Linked DNA regions of Arabidopsis thaliana. The protein of the gene in region 1 interacts with the protein of each later gene in a pairwise test. Each region holds a gene or a part of one and is shown on either strand. Other genes may lie near its edges.

Region 1 (3,432 bases):
GATACAAATTTAAATATTTTTCATATAGTTTTTGTACCTCAACGTTGATCTTAAGGTTTGCCATAGTGGCTTCAGTTCTTGCGTTAACAAACCTCCATTGAAGTAATCTGTTTTGAAAAATCCTAAACCGGTGATAATCCTCCTCTTGTACCGGAGATACTTTCTTCTGCGCCATGAAGTACTTCAAAACTCCTGCCACCGCTCCACCGCCACCGCTTCTTATCTTGGCCTTGCTTACGGGTGACTCAGGCGGCGTCATGCACATTGAAGTCGTCGGAGCTGAGCTGGACAGAGGCGTCTTCATAGTCGAAAGTCTTCCAGGAGACAACGCCCACGCCGATGGTGAGCTGGCTCCCGGCTTTACCCCTCTCGATGAAGCGTTACTACGAGGACTACCACGCGTACGTTGCTCCAAGTACCGAGCAAACGACTCTCTGCTTCTACCGTTGTTTATCTCTTGAGATCTTGATGCGCTGTTTCTCGCCGGGATTATGTTCTCGCCGGATTTAGAGTCGGATGATCCGATGGGTCTGGAGGATCTTGTTGTGGACTGTGATCTGGTTATCATCACTCGTTTGCTTGAATTGGAAGGCGAAGAGGAAGAAGATGAAGAAGTAGAAGACGATAACGAGGCGTTTAAGGACACTGGGAGAGAGATTGAAGAGCTTATAGTCCGGCTCCGGTTATTATTGGGCGATGGAGGACGGAGTCTCCGACCGGTGGTTGCCATTTTCTTCTTTAATATATGACGACGGTTAACTATATGACTATATCATACAAGACTTATATTCGGTTTCGTTTCTCGACTCACTTGCCCCTGTCCTTAAGACTCTTATAGTAAAGCTGGAATTATATGGTTCAAGGAATCGTCTAGTCTATATACACTGGTTTGAACAATTGTGATATATAATATAGTTAGGGGTATATTATATTTAATCTGTTAGATAACGGTTGGGGTACTTGAAGATCTGTAGGAGTTGACAGCACGTAGAGGCAGAGGTAAGAACACTTCTGCATGTAGTGTGTCTACATAATAAAATATAGAGTGTATTTTTTACACACACCAAAAAGAGAGATTATAATTAATGTATTATGTCAAAGCATATATGAAGGTCAGCTTAGCTAGAGACACGTCTTTTGTTTATCTCTCGACTAAACAACATGGCGTTTTAATAAAATCAAAACTTAAAAGGTCCAATTCAGAACGGCCCCATAGTATATAGTCTACGTTGAATAAATAAACCTCAAGATAGCGTCAAACTCTTTAGTCTTTACCCAAAAATATTTTTTTTTAAATAACGTCAAAACTCTAAGTCTTGACCTCAACACCAATATATATTTGCCTTCTCCAATATCTGATTTTTTTAATTGTTTATCCGAGTCTTCTTGGTCTTTTCGAATGTTTGCCCGAACCAGACCTTCCCACGTTCGGTGGTTGGTGGCCGCCTCGGCCTTTGGTTGATTTCTGTCCACATTTTGGTCCTTTTCATTCATGTACCATGTTCTAGGGTCATTTGACTTGTTGACCATAAATCTACTAAAACAGGCCTAATACCGATGGGCCGTAGCCCGTTAATAAACAAGACAATTTATATTTGTTTCACTTAGCTTGGGAGCCACGGATCTCTAGAAACATCCAGAGAAATATCAATCTCCCCACTTCTCCAGAACATTCACTCACTGACAATATCCCACCTTCAACACTTAACTCCTGTATATAGTCCTCCCCTGTCTCCAGTTTCGTCGCACACAGTTCTCAGATAAATACTAAACTCACTGTTAAAACTTTCTCAACAAAGCTTCCTGTTTCTCTACAAATGGCATCTGCTCTCGCTCTTAAGAGACTCCTATCATCCTCCATCGCTCCACGTTCCCGTAGTGTTCTTCGTCCAGCTGTTTCCTCTCGCCTCTTCAACACCAACGCCGTTAGGAGCTACGACGACGACGGCGAAAATGGAGACGGCGTTGATTTATATCGCCGCTCTGTTCCTCGCCGCCGTGGTGATTTCTTCTCAGGTAACAAACCAATTGTTTCGCTTTTCCTCCAGATCTATGTCTCTCTGTTGTTAACGTAGCGAAAATCTAGTAAGAAAACAGGTATTAGCTTACACTGAGCTCAAAATCTTGACATGATTGATTGTGTCTTTGTGTAGATGTGTTTGATCCGTTTTCGCCGACGAGGAGCGTTAGTCAAGTGCTGAATCTGATGGACCAGTTCATGGAGAATCCTCTGTTATCAGCTACTCGTGGCATGGGAGCTTCAGGAGCTCGTCGTGGTTGGGATATAAAAGAGAAAGACGATGCTCTGTACCTGAGAATCGACATGCCTGGGCTGAGCAGAGAGGATGTGAAGCTGGCTTTGGAGCAGGACACTCTGGTGATTAGAGGAGAAGGAAAAAACGAGGAAGATGGTGGCGAGGAAGGAGAGAGCGGTAATCGGAGATTCACAAGCAGGATTGGATTACCGGATAAGATTTACAAGATCGATGAGATTAAGGCGGAGATGAAGAACGGAGTGTTGAAAGTTGTGATCCCGAAGATGAAAGAACAAGAGAGAAATGATGTTCGTCAGATCGAGATCAACTAAAAACGTCGACGTTTTTTTCTGTTCTAGTTTTGTTGATAGGTCTTTGAATAAGAAGTGTGTGTAGTTTGGCACGGTCGATGTTGAGTCATGTAGTCTCTAAAGACTAAAAGGTTATATGTTTCTTTCTTGAGACGGTGGTTTTTTGTCTTGCTTAAACCAAAATTTGCATTCCAAATCAAAGCACTAATTAAATAAGTTCCTAATCGTGTATTCTTTTAGCTAACTCGGTCGGTTTACATGCCTTTGTGGTTATGAGACTGGAGCTTATGGAACGTATTTGGGTTTAAAATTTTCTGTAGACTAGGAACTAGGAAGACTTTAAGACGAATTCTGAGGCTGCGTAAGTTGTCGACGGACTGGTCTATTAATAACGCGTAAAAGTGTTAGGCCCGTTCGAGTAGAATAGCGCGTTGGACAGCCCAACTTGAATGAATCGATCGACTTTTATTAAAAAAACAAAAGTAGGGCAAAAAACAAAAAACAGAACCTCGACATTAACCTAAACCTAAGAGCAAAGCAAATCGACGGCGACGGGAAAATAGAACCGCAGATCTCTGTCTCCTCTCTCTCTCGTAACTGTTTGTTCGATGGCACCGAAGAAGGCGGAGGAAGTGGTCGAAAGCCCTCCTGTTTCCAGTGAAGAAGAAGAATCTGGCTCATCTGGAGAAGAATCTGAATCTTCTGCTGAAGTTCCGAAGAAAGTCGAGTCTTCGCAAAAGCCTGAATCTGACTCTGAAGGCGAATCTGAATCGGAGTCCAGTTCTGGGCCCGAGCCCGAGTCCGAGCCTGCTAAGACGATCAAGCTGAAGCCTGTTGGGACTAAACCAATTCCAGAGACGTCTGGA
Region 2 (3,757 bases), on another chromosome or scaffold:
TAGATTTATGTATCATCCATGTAAGCTTATATCACTCTCTCTTTACTTACAATTATGTTTTGGACTGCAGGATACTTATGTGGTGTGTGTTCTGTTCAAGAAAGATGGTCCTGGACCTAGAAATGGAGCTCAATATGGAGCTCCGTTTAAGGAAGAGGACTGGAGTGATGAGGAAGTACGTACTGATGTTCCTTCTACTAGTAATCCCACAAACCTTCTTGAGCCTAGCAAAGAAACCACTCTGGCTTTGACTGCCCCAGATGACTCCAATAAGGATTGTTTTGGTGGCATGATATCAGAGTCATGTGTCTCGGATTTCCTACCAGCTACAACTAATACCACCAGCGAGCTTCCACATCCAAGTGATGCAGCTACCACTCCTATGTCTACTGCACCTCTGGCAGAGACCGTTCAGACCCCCAACAATGATGACTTATATTCAATGTTGGATCTATTTGATGATGACGAAGAGTTCTTAGGGTTCAACAATAATGAGGTAGTTTTTTTTTGCATTCTTCTTCTTTGGCTTAGTATAGTGATAACAAGCCGGTGTCACTGCATGTTCTTAAGCTAGCAAGGCTACTTTAAAGCTGTTAAGTGTTTTAGTGGCATTGGAACGTAGTAGTTACCCATTAGACAAAGCTTCTTTGCTATATCTTCGATCTTAGTATCCAACATCAATATGTGCTCTTTTGTATCTGCTTGTTCTCCAACATCAATATGTGCTCTTTTGTATCTGCAAAATACATTCTCATATTTAATCAATCTACAGGTAAGATATGATCCCGGTGTCTCAGCTCCAGTTTGCTTAGAAGAAGAAGGCATTTTCAACGGACTACCAGAGTTGAGCAGCATGCCAAGGACGGCCTCTTACGACCTAGTTGAAAACTCGGAGTTATACCTAGAGCTACAAGACCTCACTGCTCCATTAAATCCCCAAACTGGGCTACAAGACCTCACTGCTCCATTTAATCCTCAAACTGGGCTACAAGACCTCACTGCTCCATTTAATCATCAAACTGGGCTACAAGACCACACTGCTCCATTTAATCCTCAAACTGGGCTACAAGACCACACTGCTCCATTTAATCATCAAACTGGGCTACAAGACCTCACTGCTCCATTTAATCCTCAAACTGGGCTACAAGACCTCACTGCTCCATTTAATCCTCAAACTGGGCTACATGACCTCACTTCTCCATTTAATCCTCAAACTGGGCTACAAGACCTCACTGCTCCATTAAATCCTCAAACTGGGAATCGCAATGACCCGAGAAGCTCCTCCTTTCTGTATAATCAAGGCCATTTTGACTTCTCTGGTGGTAATGATGATGATCCTTATGGCTTTTCTGCTTCCATGAGACATAGACCAAAAATGTAAAAAAAGAAGAAGAGAAGAGAAGCAGGATTTACAAATCCAACAGATGCAAATCAGACCGAATAGAAGGAGGAGCAAGCACCTTTGTTTCTTGTCTTTGAATTATGATTTTTATTAGTCAAAATCTTTTTAATGTGTCGAAACTTCCCTATCAACATTCTCTGTTTCATCCTTAGAATCTCGTATTTCTTCAGAGTATTCTCAACATTTATTCTTGTTTCTATTTTGCTATGGATTATTGTATATATACTTCTTCTGTCTAAATCATATCATTAATACTAAAAGGAATTTTAATGATGAATACTGAAAAACACAAAAACTAATCGGGAGGAACAAAAGTTCCAAGTAAAAACGAAGAATGAAAAAAGTAAATAAGAAGAAGAAAGTATCGTACCAGATTTAGGACCATAACAGATGATGTAGATGTAGGGCTTAAATGGGCTTCGTTTCGAATCCTATTTCGTTGGCCCAATATTTTAGCTTTCCCACCGCATCATTATTCATCATCTCGTGTATTAAAAAGCCGATTTGATCTCTTTCCACTAAAAACCTTGCTGACAAAGAATTCAATTTTGATTGTCGTCGATCGTACGGTATCTTGGGGGATTGATGGAGAACACAGACGTCGTCTCGGGTCTGCATAATTTCTTGAGTAAACCCTCCGCCAAAGATTTCATCAAATCAATCAAAAGGTTATCTCTCTCTCTCTCTCTCTCTCGCTTCTCTTCTTCGCTTTTTGTATACTTTAGGTTTATTTACTCTCTAGTTATGATTACATGTGTGCAAGATAAGATATCTTGCTGATTTCACATTGCTCTCTAGTAGTTATGAATAGTTTTTTTCGTTTTTGCGACAATGTTATGATATCGATGATTTGCTATAAACTTAAGCAGATTTTTGTTGTGATGGAAACATCACATGCCACTGGTTTTTTGAGTTGTGAACGTTTTTTGATGTTTTGCAGTTTCATTGTTTCGATCTTGAACACTGCACCAGACCCTGAAAAAGATTGTGATGCAGTTCAGGACTTCTTTTACAAGATGGAGTCTGCTTTCAGGGCTCATCCACTTTGGTCTGGTTGTTCCGATGATGAGTTAGACAATGCGGGAGATGTGAGTTATTCTTCTTCCCTTTTTCCTGCTTATCTCTCTCATGATTTATCTATAATAATCTTTCTTGACTTAATTTATGTATACACAGGGCCTGGAGAAGTATGTCATGACAAAGTTATTTCCCCGGGTTTTTGCATCAAACACCGAGGATGTTATATCCGATGAGAAACTCTTTCAGAAGATTTCCTTGGTTCAACAGTTCATATCTCCTGAAAACTTGGATATACAACCAACTTTTCAAAACCAAACATCTTGGCTTGTAAGTCACATCTATCTCTCCATAGTGTTGCTTGTTTTCTTATAATGGTTCTTACTTGTGATGTTTTTTTTTCTTATTTTATGGCAGCTAGCTCAAAAAGAGCTCCAGAAGATAAATATGTACAATGCTCCTCGTGATAAGCTTATGTGTATCCTTAGGTGCTGCAAAGTCATTAATAACTTACTTCTAAATGCTTCAATTGCTTCAAACCAGAATGAACCTGGAGCTGACCAATTTCTTCCTGTTCTCATATATGTTACCATTAAGGTATGTTGTCAAGGATTGTACAATTTAAGCAAAAGCTATTTCTGAATATGTCTCATGTTTACTTCATATTAACTCTTATCCTTGGATTCTGAAAATGACATTATTTGCTTTGTTTCTCCAGGCTAACCCTCCCCAGTTTCACTCAAACTTGTTGTATATACAAAGATATAGGCGTCAATCTAAACTGGTTGGCGAAGCTGGCTACTTATTCACCAACATACTCTCTGCAGAGTCATTCATCTCAAATATTGATGCAAAATCCCTCTCCATGGATGAAGCTGACTTTGAAACTAAAATGAAATCTGCACATGCACGTCTTTCTGGTCCGGGAAGCCAGTCTTATCAAACGGATCACGGTGCTGCATTACCCACTGCTCATAATACTAAGAGGGAAAACATGCTTCTGCATACAAAATCAACTGATAGTTTCTCTGGTACCAATGAAACACTGAGTGAAACACCAATAAAGAAAGCTGACCCCATTACCGATTTGGAAAATAAGGGCGCTGCTACGCTTTTGAATGATAGAAGTGAGGCAACCAAAATATTTCAAGAATATCCTTACATGTTTGCCAGTGTTGGTGATTTAAAGATAGGAGATGTTGAAGACTTGCTTAATAATTATAAACAGCTAGTTTTCAAATATGTTTGCCTTTCCAAAGGCTTGGGTGATGCAACATCTTTAACTCCATGCATTTCACCATTGCAAGCGTCTAAAGTCTCTGAGAATCATACAACATT

The links.
Region 2: the proteins of HSP23.6-MITO (region 1) and VPS9B interact in a two-hybrid assay, tested with the Arabidopsis thaliana proteins (one large-scale study listed by BioGRID).

Annotation. Positions count from the first base shown.
Region 1 is NC_003075.7:12,915,272-12,918,703, forward strand, and holds HSP23.6-MITO (mitochondrion-localized small heat shock protein 23.6), read left to right. Parts: upstream 1-1,654; 5' UTR 1,655-1,817; coding exon 1,818-2,016; intron 2,017-2,153; coding exon 2,154-2,587; 3' UTR 2,588-2,839; downstream 2,840-3,432. Other genes in the region: QWRF7 (QWRF motif protein (DUF566)), read right to left, coding at 38-730; AT4G25210 (DNA-binding storekeeper protein-related transcriptional regulator), read left to right, coding at 3,175-3,432.
Region 2 is NC_003076.8:2,890,247-2,894,003, reverse strand, and holds the start of VPS9B (vacuolar protein sorting-associated 9A-like protein), read left to right. Parts: upstream 1-1,909; 5' UTR 1,910-1,987; coding exon 1,988-2,070; intron 2,071-2,342; coding exon 2,343-2,490; intron 2,491-2,578; coding exon 2,579-2,749; intron 2,750-2,836; coding exon 2,837-3,016; intron 3,017-3,137; coding exon 3,138-3,757. Other genes in the region: NAC082 (NAC domain containing protein 82), read left to right, coding at 71-496, 773-1,381.